Notamacropus eugenii: one gene and its partner. The protein of the gene in region 2 binds, or shares a complex with, the protein of the main gene of each other region. Links are inferred from orthologs where the notes say so. Each region holds a gene or a part of one and is shown on either strand. Other genes may lie near its edges.

Region 1 (7,928 bases), on a different chromosome or scaffold from region 2:
CTTCAGCTTCTCCCCCTGAAAGAAAGGGGGCAGTCTCCACACTTCCCACCCACCCTCTGGACTACCCCCTACTCTATGCCCACCCCTGCAGCAGGGCTCCGTCTAGGGGAGGTGGGCAGGCTTGCAGGAGTCCTCCCAGGCCCCCACGTGTGTGGTTGCTCAGGGCTCCAGGGTGCAGCGAGCTCCACCCCAAGGAAAAAAACAAAACTCTCTCCACGCGCGGAGGAGGGGGTGGCCGGAGGAGAGGGGGGAGGAGAAGGGCGGGTAAAGGGCGCGCGCCGCCGCGGGAACAGGGGCGCGCGCGCCAGTCTCCTCCTCCTCCGCCCCCCCCATTCCCTGCTCCCCCCGCCTCCGCAGCCCGGCGGGGACCCGGACGCTGCGCAGGCACCGCCAGCCCCGGAGCGCCGCGGCCGCACCGCCCCCGGGGACCCGGATCCGGATTCCTACCGCCCTCCCCCCCTTCCCCGAGCCGCCAGCCCGGGCCAGCCCGCCCCGGGCCGAGCAGCTGGAGCTCTCCCCTACCCCCAGCCCCGGGGGAACCCGCCGCCCCCCGATCCGGAGCCGGGCTCAGCAGCAGCCGCGGCCCCAGCGGTCGGAGTCAGCACCTCCTCGTCCCCCGGGCCTCGCGGCCCAGCCCGGGCGGCGCCCCCGCCCCGGCCCCCGGGGAGCCGAGCCAAGGCCGAAAGGGAGGGAGGCAGCCAGGCGGGGAGGCGGGCGGGCGGGCAGGCGGGGGCGTACAGGACTCGCCGTCCCCGCCGCCCCCTCCGGCGATCCGGGAGAACTGCGGCTCCCGCCCCGGGAGGAACGCGGGCTCCCCCGCCCCGCGGCCAGGCTCGGCCTGGGCCTCCCCGCGCCCGGCTGCCCCGCGCGTCCTCCTCCGTCTGCCCAGCGTTCTCTTCCCCCCCAGCCTCCTCCTCCTCCAGCTCCCCCCGGGCAGGATTTCTCCCGGGGGCTCGGGCCCCCTCGCGCGGCCTCCAGCTCCGTCCTCCTGCTCCAGCTCCTCGGCCCCTGCCCACGTTCTCCGGCCCTTTCTCCCCTTCCGTGCTCCCGGGGTGCCGTCCTCCCGAGCTCGGCCCTCGCTCCCCTCCCTCCACGTTGCTCGATCTCGCCTTCCGGCGCAAGCTCTCGCTCTTCCTCCCCAGCCCTGGTCCCGCGATTACCGGGCGCAGCTCGGCGTCCGGGCGCCCCGCTCCCGCGGCTCCCTCCTCCCCCGCTCTGCCGGGCACAGCCGCAGCTCCCTCCCGCGGCAGCTCCTCCTCCTCCGAGCGCGGCTGGGGCGGCGGCTGCTGAGGCGGCTGCTGCTGCTGCTGCTGCTGGGGCGGCGGCGGCTGTGGCTGCGGCGGCGACGGCTGCTGCTGCTGCTGCTCCTCGCGGCGAAAAGCACAAAGCACAGCGCCCTCCGCCTGCAGGCAGCCAGCCCGCCCGCCGGCCGGCCCCGGGCTCAGCGAGCACACCCCCCGTCGCCGCTGCAGCCTCCGCCGCCGGAGCGGGAAGGAGGAGGGAGAAGGGAGGAGGAGGAGCGGGGAGGGGGGGCGGGAGAAGCGGGGCAGCGAGCGCGTCCTTCCCCGTAGAGCGCACACCGACCCCCGGGGAGCGAGCGCCCGCCCGCCCCGAAGGCTCCTCTCCCTCCCACAGCCCAGCCCGGGCGGGCTCCACGGGGGGCAGCTGGGAGGAGGGGCGGGGAGCTGGGGGGGACCCGGGCGGCCGAGGCGGAGGGAAGTAAGGGGGGGGAGATGGCGGCGGCAGCGGTGGCTGGTGGCGGCTAGGGGGGGGCCGAGGGAAAGAGACACGCAGCCGCCCGGATGGCGGTGGAGATCGGGGCCGGGGAGAAGGAGTGAACTGGCGGCGAGAGCGACCTCCCCAGACCCGTAGGAGAACTAGCAGCCTCGGCCAGAGCTGGAGGGCGCAAGGCCCGGGCCCAGGAGAGGGGACTCCCTGACCCTGGGAAGGAGCAAAGGAATCTCCATAATCTATTTTCTGCAGAGCTGGCACAGAAATTTTGCTTCTCCGTCTACCTCCCGGGGCATAATCCGTGCCCTCTTCCCTCTGCTAGCTCCTCGTTACTACCACTACCTTCACCCCCAAATCGGCGCTGCGGGGCCGGGGAACGAGCTGGCCGCAGAGCGGCGGCTACCGCTTTCTCCCCTTTCTCGCCGGGCTTCGCTCGCCTTCTCAGAAAAACACTGTCCCAAAATCTTGTTTAAAAAAAAAAATCACAGCAAACCTCCCTTCCCCCCCATTTTTTTCCATTTCTCTCTACACCCCGGAAACGCCGCGGGAATCGGGTCTGAAGTGCTGCCTCCAAGGAGCAGGCTCAGTTCGGCTCGGCATGGCTCGCTCGGGCCTTCCCCGAGCGCATGGAGATCCGCCTCCCGCAGCTCCTCTCTCCGTTCCCCCATTACCCTGAAATACGGCGACGCAAGGGCTTCCTTACCCGGCTCCGTGTATCTAGGTGTGGGGTCGAGGGCCGCGGGGGATCCGGGGAGCGGTGGCTGGGCGAGGGAGCGGGACGTAGAGCCGATCCGCAGCTACCGCTGCAGCCGACGCCAGGGGAGCGAGTCGCCAGACAAAGCCCGCGATGGCGAAGCGGAGGGACGGCTAATGGCGAGCCACACGCGCGGCGCTCCGCCCGCCCCGCTCCGTCCGCCCGCCCCGGCGCAGCGCAGCAGCGCTCCGAGCGCTCGCCCTGTCAGTGCCCCAGCCCCACCGCCGCCGCCTCCCAGGCCTTCCCCGGCCTCTCCTTTCCCCCTCCTCTTCGGCCGAGCTCCCTCAATCTCCCCCCACCGACCCCTCCCCTCCCGCTGGGGGGCTGGAAAAAGGAAAAAACCCCACCACTTTTCCCCTCTTTGTGGCTTTCCCCTTCCTTCTCGCACTCACCTGCGGAGCCGCCGGGAGGGCCGGGGGTGGGGGGCGAGTGGGGCTGGTGCCGGGGAGCGCTGGTTGAAAGCTAGCCAAGCTCTGCAGCGCCCGACCCGGGCGTGGACTCCGCCGCCAGTCCCCGCAGAGAAATCGTCCTCCTACCCCCGCCTCCATCGCTCTGCTTTTTTCTTCCAATCAGCCGGGCGCTTGGCGGCTCCTCCATCCTCCAGCCAAGCTCCACAGCCCTACAGCGGACTCCACTCCTCCATCTGCTCTCTCCGGCTCCTCTCTTCCCTACCCTGGGCTGGAGAAGAGGGGAGGGGGGTGGGGGGGGAGAGAGACGGAGGTGGATTTATTAGGAAACCTGCTTCTCTTTTCCCCGCACACCACCCCTCCCTCCCTTCTCTTTTCTCCCTGGCTTCTCTCCCTCTTGCTTCTTTTCAACTCTCCCTTCTCGCGACTAGGGTGTTGTGTGTGTCTCTGTGTGTGTCTGTGTGCGCGTTTTTTTTTTTTTATTGCTCTTTGCTTTTGCAACACTGAAGCCAAGAGAAGAGGAGGAGGAGAAAGGGGGGGGGTATGATATGTCTAAATTCTCTTCTTATATTTCCAGAAAAACAAAAAAGCACCCCCCCCTTCGGTTCCAGCTCTGTTCCTTTAGGGCCTTCTGGTTTTTATGCCCCTCCGTGGAATTCGTAATACGCGTGATTTTCTCCAAAAGTTCTCCCCTAGGGTGGGCGATGATGCTGAAGAGGGAGGCTTGTCACCAACCAGAGAGAAGACTCCCCCTACCTCCCACCCCTAGGCGAAAAAAACCCCCAAACCCGAGCTCGAGAGCGAAGGGAGAGCTAGGAGCGAGGCGGGGCTCCGGGGAAAGGGCTGGGGAGAGGTGCAGATGGGGAGCTGGATCGGCCTTCTCTCCTCTCTCTCCCTCTCGGTCTGTCTCCTTTTCGCCCCAGCGAGATCCCCCTTTAATTTTTTTTCTCCCCTTTAATCTAATTTCTTCCAACTCCACCTTTGTTGTTATGGGCGTCACGGTCCGGCTAGCCAATCCCCACCACGGGATCAGCTTGCTTGTCAAAAAGGCCTGGGTCATCCCGGAGAAAGGGCGGCTGGAGCAGTCTCAACCCCCCCACCCCCGCCCGGCGCGAGAGGCGCGGGAGGGACCCAGGCAGCCCCAGCCCCCGCCTGCCGAAGCTGGCCGGGATCCCCCTCTACTCCTAGGCGGCCTCTTTCCTGTTAGGCCTGCGTCAGGGGCGGGGAGAGAAGGAGGAGGCATTTCTCAGCTTTAACTGTCCCTCCGGGGCCTGGGGTTTATCGGAGACTTGCAGGGGGTGGGGGGCGCCTGGGCCCTCCCTCCTCCTCTGCAGGAGGTTTCTGCTGGCCGGTTGGTTTTCTGTCTCCTCGGCGGAGGAAATGGCTCTTTCAGCCCTGGGAACCCGAGGGACCTTCTAGGAGGGGAGCTCCTCCACGAGGCTTGTACTGGTGCCTGGGCCGGGGTGGGCGGTGGGATGGCCTTTCTCCTCGGGCGGAGGGCAGCGAGGCTCGCCCTGCACTCTCACGCACACTCTGGTGCGGATACAGTTGCTTTTCTCACCCACAAAGCATGTGTTTAGGGGATGGCCGGACGCTTGTGTATTCCCTCCTGTTTCCAGGGAGGATTCAAAACACGTTCCCAGCATAACCTCATCACACATCTGCCTGCTTACATAATGGGGGGGAAGCCCAGGCCAAAACTGGTGCTTCTGAGTGCTACATTCTCCGCTAGGGATTATTTCATTTAGGATATCCCTGTATCCACATTCGCTGTGCCTGGAGCACAACCGAATCAGTGTCTGTGGATGGTGACAATGTAGCAACGGTAGATGGATGTTCTGTGCGCTCACCGGTGTATTACTGGCATGGTATTTCCAGCTGAAAGGGCCCTTGGAAGTGACCACGCAATCGGCCTCCCTTCTCGCGTCCCCTACGGTCCAGGAGGAAACTGAGGCTCAGGAAGATTTCCCTCTCCCGAATTAGACCTGGCTCCTAGCCTGCACTTACGTGCTGCTGGGCCAAGACACCATTATGTAAAGTACTTTGGAATGAAGCTGGGTTATTCCCATTTACAGGAATGGCAATTATGGAGTTTTTATTCCTTGACTGACAAAAGTCAGAGATGGCTCCCTTCCCATTTGGAAGCAGGCTGTTTGGTTTATGTCCACTGCCTTCCTCTTGAGGTTAGGAAGTGAATACAAGAGACCTGGCAGATTGGAACCCAGCTTCATCGAGCCTTCTTCCCCTAGCAAACCTTCTCCCTACTCACCCCCTCCCCAACCCCCAGGATAACCTGGCTTGAAAGGCATGAAGTAAGATAATAGTAAAAACAGTTAATCAACAGATTGACTTCATTCAAAAGCTCCTAGATTTAGAGGTGGAAGGAGCCTTAGACCCTATCAAACCCAACTCCCTCATGTTACAAATGAGAAACAGGAGAGACCCTGTAGAAGTTAATGGACTTGCCCAGGGTCATGCATTGAGTACATGAAACCGAATTTGAACTCAAACTTTCCTGACTCATTTCAGCTGCATTCTGGCCACTCACTCACTTCTTCACCTAGCTGCATTAAAGTCTAGATAGGGTAGACTCAGTGAACTCTGGAAATGTTTCAATTCACTTAAACAAAGACTGATTAAGGTTCTATTATGTGGAATAGCATTGGAGAAGCAAAGCTTGCTTTTCTTTCTTTTTCAAAGTGGCACAACTGTCTACCCTCATGGAACCTATATTCCACTAGAGGAGATAGATACAACATGAACACACGTAAAATACAAGGTAGGGTTTAGAGCATGATGACAATTCTTTTCTTTCCCTTTAATTTCTTCCATTTCCATTTTTGTTGTGGTGGGCATGGGGATCCGGCCAGACAATCCCTGCTATGTGACCAACTTGTTTGTGGAGGCAATGGAAAAAGGCAGGCAAAATGTACTCTAGAAAATATTCTAGCAAAATATGTAGATTTTTGAAAATCAATTTTTTGTTTTAATTTTCCTCAACTTAAATGGCAAAAAAAGTGAGTTTCCATACACGTAACAAAATAAAAAAAAAAGATCTTGTTTATGAAACCATGAATCTCCATTTTATACTGTTTCTAAAAGTACATAATAAATTTCACATGCTAATTTCAAAACCGGCTTGTCTATGCTTTCTGATAAACTTCCTTCTTTTCTGCAAATTTTTAGAAAAAGTTTCAATGGCTCTCTTTTTTAAAAGAATCACTTTTATTAAGCTTTATTGCCCCCATAGAGTTCCATCCCTAATCCCAATTAAAAATACACACAGAGATAAAAACAACTCCTTAATGAACAAACATAGTCAAGCAAAATGAATTCACATAGTGACCGCATCCAAAAATGTATGCCTCAGCACCTTTAGTCCATTACCTCTGTCAGGAGATGGGTAACATGCTTTCTCACAGGTCCTCTAAGAGATATGGTTGGTCATTGCTTTGATCAGAGTTCCTGCCTTTCAAAATTGTTTTCCTTTGTAATATTATTGTTCTTGTACAAATCATTGTCTTGTTTCTACATTAGTCTGTGCTGTCCAGATTTCTCTGAAATCTTGCTTTTCTGTAATTTTTTTTTTACAGAGTAATAAGAATTTAGGCATTCCCCAGTTGCTGAACACACCCTTTGATTCTAGCAGCTCTTTGCTTTTCTCCCCCCCCCCCCCCAACCGCCCCCCCCCCCCCCACCCCGTTACATCCCTCCCATACTGTCTTAGGATCAGGAAATTTGTTTTGTTTGTAACTGTTCTCTCCCAGCTATTATCCTTCCCCTTAACCTCAAATTATACACCACCCTCCCCCACCCTTGTTTCCCTATTGAGTTTAATGTATTTCTACATTAAATTGTATTGTGTGTTCAACCCACCTTTGTTTCAAATAAAAGTAAGGTGTAGCTGATGCCCATCCCTCTCGCTCCATGTTTGTGTGCTCTTTAAATGTGTAACAATTATAAGGAATATAAAATTCCACCCCTTTCTTCCTCCTTTCTACACTAGTATATTTCCTTTTATTTTACTCTTTTCCTTCTTAAAACCTTTAGAACAGAATCAATCTACCATCAGGCCCTTCTTTTTCTAATTTAATTCCTGCTATATAATACTCTGAAGACATTGAGGTTCTGAAGGTAAATGTCTTCTCCTATTGGAGCTTCAGTACTGTATCATTATACAACTCCTTCCATTTGCTGAACTAAATTTAGTTTTCTAGGTTTTTCTGGACTCATGCTGATATTTCGAAATTTCTACTTGGCTCTAATCTTTTCATCAGAGATACTTGAAACATGAGAGAAAAAAAATCCTTCCACCTTTTCCCTCTCCATAGGATTATATTCAGCTTTGCAGGGTAAATTATTCTTGGTTATAAGTCCCATTTTTTTTTTCCTTTTGGAATATCATGTTCCAACATCTTCCATATATTATGAAAGCTACCAGGTCTTGTGTGATCCTGTTTGTGGTTCTTTAGTATTCAAAATGTTTCTTTTTGGATGCTGGCAATATTTTTCCTTTGATATAGAGGCTCTGGATTTTGGCTATGAAACTCCTGGGATTTATCCTTTTGATATTTTTTTTTTCCAGGAGGTGATTAGTAGATTTTCTTCTTTCTTCCTTTGTTCTTTCAATAAATCTGGGCAGTTTTCATTCATTTATTCATTCATTTATTTGTTCGTTTATTTATTTCATTTATAGTTTCTTAAAATATTGTGTCTAGCCTACGAAAAAAAATAATGGTTTTCAGGGAGTCCAACGACATGACAATTCTCTCTCTTTGACTTCTTTTTCAAGTCAGATTTTTTTTATATCAGCTTACATTTTTCTCAATTTTTTCAATGTTTTTATTTTGTTCTAATATTTCTTGTTGTCTTTTGGAGACATTGACTTTTGGTCCATTCTAGTTTTCAGGGAGTAAGTTTGCTACTTTCTGTCTTAATCTATTAATTCTCCTTCCAATTCTTTCCTCCAGTGATTTAATTTTTTAAAAATTTCTTGTAGATATTCATGGTGTCTTTGTGGAAAATTCATTTTTTCC
Region 2 (7,842 bases):
GGAGCTAAATCAGGAAGCATCCCTGACAATCAGTCCAGGCTGGGGTGGGGGGGGAATGGAAAATGGGGCCACTGAACCAGATGTTTACGGGTCTCACCTTCCCCCTGGACTGTGCGGGTCACCACCTGCCGGACTGGTCCCTGGAGCAAGATTTGGGTTGGGTCCCCAACAGCCTGGGGTTTGCGGGTGCTGAACAGTTTTACCTTCTGGAAGTCTGAGAGGCCAGTTAAGGCAGTCTTCAAATTTAGGATCAAGGTCTAGAAGGGAACTTTGAAACCATTTACTCTAAGCCACTTAGAGTCTGAAATCCAGCCCAGGCACTTGGATCACACACCAAGCATTCTACATGTGACCAGCTCACTGCAGGCTCATTAGCTCTACAACTGATCCCTCCCAGGCCTCCTGTACCCTTCTCCTTCCCCCTATCAGGGAATAAGTCCCTGGTCAGAGAGGATAAGCCAGTCTCCTTCCTCCTTCCCACAGAAGGATACTCAGCTGGTTGTAGGCTTGCCCAGTAGGGTAGACCAGCTGCCCAACATGGGGTTTAGCCCCTGGGACCCAAGCGAGAGCCCCGCCTGTAGAAGTTTCATCCAGCAGTAGCCCCTTCCAGCGGGTCTCCAGCTCCTCATGCAGCAAACCCCCAAGCAGACCTTCCACTTCCTCAGCCAGCACTGTGCCCCCCAGGAGGGAGAATCGTCGCTGACGGGTGCTCAAGTGGGCCCAGGGGCACCTGGGAGATGAAAGATCCCATTAAAAATAATACCAGATCACCCTTTCCAGGACACTGAACAAATCATAAAGCAACTGTTCTTACAGCAACCTTTCAAAGTAGGTTGTGTAAGGATTATCATCCCCATTTTACAATATGGAAACTAAGGCTTAGAGCTGGGACTCAAACCCAGGGCTACCATTGTACCCACTAAGTTAGCATAGGAGGGTGACCAGAGAAGAAAGTTGGTAGACAGCTGATCCCACCTCTTGACTCTCCTTTCTTCCCAATCCTAGAACCCCACAGTTTTGACTAACAGTACGCCCCCTTCTTCTCCTTGGGTCACTTGCCCCTTGGGCTGGTGTCCACTGAGGTCCTGGAGCAACCGTTCTGCATTCATCACCGTCCTGTCCTTGCGGGATTTCTGGAGAGAAAGCTTCAGTTACTTCTTGCCTCTGGCCAGTTTGCCCATCACTTCCCTGTGTCACTAGGGGTCAACTGCAGCCAGCCAGGGGTCACTTTTACCAGTTGTCCAATCGTCAAATTTACCTTTGCTTTTCCCAGGTTAAAGTCCTCCTGCAGCAGCTTTCCTAGGGGCCCAAAGGCAATGTCCCCATGATCCCACAAGAACTGGTTGAGCTGAGAGGGGGACAAAGAAAAGGACAGTGACCACATGTGGCAAGGGCCAAGATCAGAGCCCAGAGTAACCCTCAAAAGACCCAATGCCCACTTACCTGCTCCATAACATCTACTGTCGCTTTGGCCCCAAATGGACGCCTCAGTCTCCCCTGGAAGAGCAAATCTCGGGGGGTCAGCTCAGGGTTCCAGAGGTCTGAAGGGAAAATTAGGGAGATTAGGGAGAAGGGGCCCAAGGTTCTTGGCAAAGGGAGCTGAGCTGGGAGGGAAGTCTGAGAATACATTGAGGAGGAAGTCCTAAGAAGGTAGATAAAAGTCTAAGAGGCAATCCCAGGAATCTGGTAGGAGCATTCTAATTTCCTTGTCCATGGTAGGAAACATGTATATCTGACAACACTGGGCTTTGAGATGAGAGCCTGTGGTTCAAACAGCTGCTGCTAAATGAAACTTCCGTAGAAGGAGCTTTAGGCTGGGATCCAGGGGCTGTACCCCAATAAAATAGGGTGGGAGGAAGGACTTGGTGGGTTGTCAGAAAGCAGCAAGTAGGGTTGGGGTAGGAACAGAAAAAGAGGACCCCTCACCAGGACCAGGGCGCAGGAAGGGCAGAGGTCCAGGAGTGTCAGACTTCCATCTTCCCCACTTTGTCACATACGATGTCTCATGCTGGGGGGGGTTAACCTGGGGGACAAGGAAAGACTCCAGTAGACCACACTTGTAGTATCAAGGTTAATCTCCATTTTGTGGGAGAGGGTGGTAGGGTGGAAAGATCATCAGTTTTGAAGTCAGAGCACCTGGATTCCAATACCCTCTTTGACACTTACTACCTGAGTGATCTGAGGAAAGTCATCTTTCTTCTCTGGGTCTCAGTTTCCTCATCTGTAAAATGAGGGATTTGGACTCTGTGGCCTCTCAGATCCCTTATACTTCTAGATTAAAGGGTGGAGGACCCATTCAGTTCTTGTAAATTATTAATGCTGAACTAGATCAAATCCTTTACATCTAAACATTTCCTGTCCCTCTAGGGAAGGTGTGAACTAGCGATGGATCTGGAGTCGGAGGACCCGCTTTCAAAACCCAGCTTTGACACTTAGTAGGCCACTTGATGTCTGTGATTCTTTACTTGTAAAATAAAGACAACCTCAGAGGTCCCTCCCAGGTCCAAATCTATGATCTTGATGAGGTTCTAGAGAGCACAGGTAATACTATTCTCCTTTTATTATGGAACTAAGGATGAGAAGTTCCTCAAGTCTCTGGGGTGCCCAGGACATCAGACATCCCTGTGGCCAAGCAGAAGTGACTAGCACCTTGTGTACCAACTACCAACTGTCCAGACAACAGTTCCCCAGAAAGGGCTCTGGGGCTGCTCCTACCGATGGATCCTGGGTCTGGGGGGGCTTCAGCAGCTGCATACAGTCACTCCAAGCAGGGGCCAGATACAAGCCAGGGGAATCATTCAGGCCAGGGGGGCCAGGCAAAAAGAACGTGGGAAAGAGATTGTCAGGGAAATCCATCTGCGTGCAGGGCTCGTGTCCAATTCTCAGGTCTCGGTTCCTATGAAACAAAGATGAGAAAGACATGTTTTCTTTCTCTAATCAGTGGAACACTACACAAAAGCTTTCATGGGGCCACAAGCCTGAGAGAAGGGGCAACAGGGGAGTAAAAAGGGATTCAAAACCAAGTCTGTCCTCAGCAAAACTCTCTGTCACAGGAGTCTGTCTGCAGGGCTCACGTGCTGAAGGTTCTGGTTTCCCCTCTGAGCACAATTTATTCAGTCAGCAGATTTCCATTGGGCACCTAACACAGGCAGGGCATCCACCGTGCTATTCTTTGAGGGAGAAATGATTTAAATCAGTTCTGATCGCTCCCCTCATGAAACTCAAGTCTAGGATAAGACACAAAAGTAACAAAAACGAACAATGTTGAACAGGTACATTAAGAGATGCAAAGCATTACCTATGTGTGATCCAAAGGGGAAAGTCATTATCTTCTTGGGGGATCAACCCCAATCCTGGATCGCCTCCACCATCTGCTTCCTTCTCCCCTTCTGCTACTGAATAAAGCTGGAGGTCTTTACAAAACTGCAGACTGCATCCACTACAGCTTTCTGCTAGTTAAGCTCAGATAGGCCTTAAATGCTACAAGTTTTTGTTGTTGTTATTCAGTCTGACTCTTTGTGATCCCATTTGGGGTTTTCTTGGCAGACATACTGGAGTATTCTGGAGTGGTTCACCATTCCCTTCTCTAGCTCATTTTACAGATGAGAAAACTGAGGCAAGCAGGGTTAAAGGACTTGCCAAAAGTCAAAGCTAGTAATTGTCTGAGGCCAAATTTGAACTCAGAAAGAAGAGTCTTTGTGACTCCAGGTCTGGCACACTATGCCACCTAGCTGCCCCAATGCTACAAGACACTCCTTTAAAATCCTTCCTAACTGATTCTCTATCCCACTCCTGGGCGGCTGTTCCAAACCTTCTCTTCTCAAGCTTCCCAACTGTTTTCCAAACCCTTTCAACTGAGAGGCTGAAAAAACGGAGGCCATTCTCAGAGAGCTCCCCTCCTCCCCATCTCACATCCTTTCAACAAACATCCCCCTCCTTCTCTCCAGTCTGGGATGAAGATGAGGCTCTTCTTGTCAAGGCCAACTCCTCCATAGGTACCCTTATCCCATCTCCCTCTGTCATTTCCAGCTTAGTGGTCCCACTATCAACCTACTCTTTCTAATCTCCAATTGCAGCCTATTTCCTGGCTTCTTCCCTGCTACTAACAAACTCTCCCAAGTCTTCCTTGGTCTTAAAAAAAACCAAAAACTACCATCCCTGCAATCCTCCTACCTCCTCCCCTTCTCAATGAAACCCCTAGATTGTCTGTCCTCAGTGCCTCTGCATCCTCTCCTCTCACTTTTTAATTCTTTATATTCTAGCTCTAGGCCTCATCATTTCACTGAAATAACCCTCCAAAATCATCAGTGATTTCTTAAATGCCAAATCTAACACCTTTTTCTCAGTCTTCATCCTTCTTGACCTCTCTGCAGACTCTGGCACTGTTTACCACCATCTCCTCCTGGAAACTCTTTCCTCTGGGTTTTCACAATACTATTTTCCCTTTCTGGTTCTCTTCCTTCTGTGACCATTGCTTCTGTCTCCTTTGCTGAAAGATCACTCGCAAAATAACCACTGTGTTGTATCCCAAGGATCTCTCTTTGACCCTCTTTTCTCTCTACACACTCTTATTTGGTGATCTCAATTCCCATGGGTTCAATGACCAATGTCTGGAGCATAGTATTCCTAGAATTCCTAAGGGCAGTGAGACGACTCAGTGAATAATGTACCGGACCTGGAGTCGGTATGACCTGAGTTCAAATTTGACCTCAGATACTTACTAGCTGAGTGACCCTTCTGCAAGTCTCTTATCCCATTTGCCTTAATCCACTAGAGAAGAAAATGGCAAACCACTGGAGTATAATTGACAAGAAAACCCCATGGACAGTTTGGTCCACAGGGTAATAAAGAGTTGGATGACTGAACAACAACATAGTCTATTTTGTGGGGTAAAGGGTTGTTTGTGGGGTTGAGTGATCCAGTCTGGGGGAACCATGGAATGATAATATTTGACCCAATCCCTGTGTAGCTGAAGTGGAATGGTGAAAGTCAATGATGGTGAGGAACTGAGAGGTCAGGAAGTGAGACTAAATGACAAAGTTTGAGGAACCTGAAGACAGGAGGTAGAATGAAAGGGATGAATTAGGCTGCAGCATGCCTGAAGTGGGGACATAAAAACCTGACATATCTAGGGAGAATGCGATTAAATAGAACCGGGGTTGTATTCTACCCAGAACAGGTCTGGTTATGAGACCTGAGACAGCCAGCGTGGCAGAAAGAGGCGGGATGGGGAATCAAGTCAGGTCAAGTACGAATAAGTACATGGCACTGAGTTAAGAACTGGGGCTCCCAAGAAAAGTAAAAGTCCCTGCTTTCAAGGACCTCAGAGTGTAATGGGGGAGACACCATGCCAACTGGAGAGGGGGGAGAAAGAGGGAGAGAGGGAGAGAGGGAGGGAGAGGGAGAGAGGGAGAAGGAGGAGAGGGAGAAACTGGAGATAATTAACCAATATTAAGGAAAGCTGGGAAAGGCTTTTGCAGAAGGTCAGGGGAGGAGGCAGAGACGAGGAAGGAGAGAATTTTAAGCGAGGGGGGCAGCCAGGAGAGATGCCCCGAGTCGGGAGATGGCGTGCTGCACTCTAGGAACCACCAGGAGCCCAGCATCACTGGATCGCAGAGTACTCGGAGGGGAATATGATAAAAGGAGTGCAAGGATCCTGGAAAAGGAGGGAAGGGGCAGGTTGTGAAGGAGAACGTTAGGGCCGCCCAGTACAACCTTCTCCTACATCTTTCAGAAAAGTCAAGCCTACAAGGGGAAGGAGACTCACCCGCTGTCCCTGGGCTCATCAGTCGCGGGTCTGGGATTCAAACCCTAGTCCAACCGGTCCTGGGAAGCGGGTCGAGAACACCGTTTCAGTACCAGACTTGGAGGCCGGGGCTGCACCCCAGGCTCAGCCCCTCCCCACTCTCCCAGTCTGTGAAAGGGGGTTTAATGACCCCCCCACCCAGCAGAGAAAGGAGCCGCGATTACTCAGACCTCTTCATCTCCTTCGGTGTAGAACGGCGGTGGTGCCTCCATCCCCCGACAGCCGAGACGGGCCCACTGGTACCCACGAGAGCCGGCTCACCAGCCACCCCGAGGCAGACACGTGGGAAACGAAGAAAAACGCCCACACACAAAAAGAAACTGACGACTCACTCACTGCGCATGTGCGGGACCAAGAGATTTCCCAGGATCCTCCAGAGCCAGAGCCCCAAACCCGATCCCCGGAAGTCCTCCTCCTGGAGAGAGCTGCCTTACTAAATATGGCGGCCCCCTTAGTCTCATTCCCCCAATAGGAGCCGCCATTATCCTCAGTGCAGGGTTGGTCCCGCCCCCTTGTCAGCCGCGTGGATGGTGGCCCGCGGGGGCCATCCCAAGGCCTCAGGAGAAACGCGGAGCTGGACGGTAGGGACTTTCTTAATAACCCGACTGTCCGAGGGGAGAGGGTGCTCTGGCGCTTTGTAGCTGGCCCCGAAACGTTCCCGCACCTTGCGTCCCTGCTCGCCTTGCTGTTACAAAGCACTGGAAAGCCGGTCCAAGAGAGGAGACTTGTCCAAAGTCACGACGCGCGTAAGATCGCGATCGAGCTGGAGTTAGAGGCGACTGTCGTGTGTGGTCACGATTAGATGGGGAGCTCCTTGGGCAGGCACTATTTTTTGCCATTTCCCCAGGGTTTAGCACAGTGCCTGGCACACCGAAGGTGACTGAGCGAACGGTCAATTTACTGATTGATTTAATCCAAGCCCTTGCCGCCACACCCCGCCCCTTTTTAGATCTCTGAGCTATTAGGATCCCCCAGCGCTCAACCGGGTGCTTTGTGCACCGTGAGTGCTTGTAAGTGTCCCTCCATTCATTCATTCACTCGTTCACTCATTCACTCACTCATTCACTCATTCACTCATTCATTCACTCATTCACTCACTCATTCATTCACTCATTCACTCACTCATTCATTCATTCATTCACTCATTCACTCACTCATTCACTCATTCATTCACTCATTCACTCACTCATTCATTCACTCATTCACTCATTCATTCATTCATTCACTCATTCACTCACTCATTCACTCATTCACTCATTCACTCACTCATTCACTCATTCATTCACTCATTCACTCATTCACTCATTCATTCACTCATTCACTCATTCACTCACTCATTCACTCATTCATTCACTCATTCACTCACTCATTCACTCATTCATTCATTCACTCATTCACTCATTCATTCATTCATTCATTCATTCTTCATTCAACCAGATAGAGAAAGTCCGATAGATTGGGAACTCCTTGAAAGTAGGGAAGTTTGGGGGCTTTTCTAGTATCCCCAGTTCAGCGCAATGCCTCGCACTGTAGTAGATGGTGCTTAATAAATGCTACCTAATTAGAAACCAGGTGTCACGATTCCCACCTCTGTTCACACCGATACCTTGGACAAATCACTTCGTGTTTCTGGACATCAGTTTCCTCATTTGTAAAACGGGGTGGGGTTGGACTAGTTCAGGGGTTCTTAACCTGAGGCCGTGTCTATCTCCCACCCCCCAACGCCCCACCCCAGCCCTCGCCAAAGTCCATGAATCAATCCACATTTATTATTAAAAAGGTCCATGGATGGATTTCAAGGGTTTCATGAACTTGTATGGGTAAAGAAAAAAATTACCTTTATTTCAATATAAGTTGTTTCCTTTATATGTATGATGCAATATATAATTATGTTAATTATAATATTTCAATATAAAATGGTTTTCATATTCAATGCAATTTAAAACACAGTTCTGAGAAAGGATCCCTAGGCTTCGCCAGACTGCCCAAGGGGTCTATGGAACAAACAAGATGGAGAACCTAAGTGACCTGAAAGG

Evidence for each region. The genes of interacting proteins can lie anywhere in the genome.
Region 1: TAF1C (region 2) and UBTF share a complex: the UniProt entries of both Homo sapiens proteins name them as parts of the pol I pre-initiation complex. The link is inferred for Notamacropus eugenii from reciprocal best matches to the Homo sapiens genes TAF1C and UBTF.

Annotation. Positions count from the first base shown.
Region 1 is NC_092873.1:349,812,783-349,820,710, reverse strand, and holds the start of UBTF (nucleolar transcription factor 1), read right to left. Parts: upstream 3,008-7,928; 5' UTR 2,878-3,007; intron 2,564-2,877; exon of another isoform or gene 2,435-2,563; intron 1,278-2,434; exon of another isoform or gene 1,161-1,277; intron 1-1,160. UniProt on the Homo sapiens protein: Recognizes the ribosomal RNA gene promoter and activates transcription mediated by RNA polymerase I (Pol I) through cooperative interactions with the transcription factor SL1/TIF-IB complex.
Region 2 is NC_092872.1:697,982,814-697,990,655, forward strand, and holds the start of TAF1C (TATA box-binding protein-associated factor RNA polymerase I subunit C), read right to left. Parts: upstream 3,004-7,842; 5' UTR 2,923-3,003; coding exon 2,716-2,922; intron 2,024-2,715; coding exon 1,927-2,023; intron 1,542-1,926; coding exon 1,444-1,541; intron 1,349-1,443; coding exon 1,259-1,348; intron 1,134-1,258; coding exon 1,060-1,133; intron 731-1,059; coding exon 492-730; intron 215-491; coding exon 98-214; intron 1-97. UniProt on the Homo sapiens protein: Component of the transcription factor SL1/TIF-IB complex, which is involved in the assembly of the PIC (pre-initiation complex) during RNA polymerase I-dependent transcription.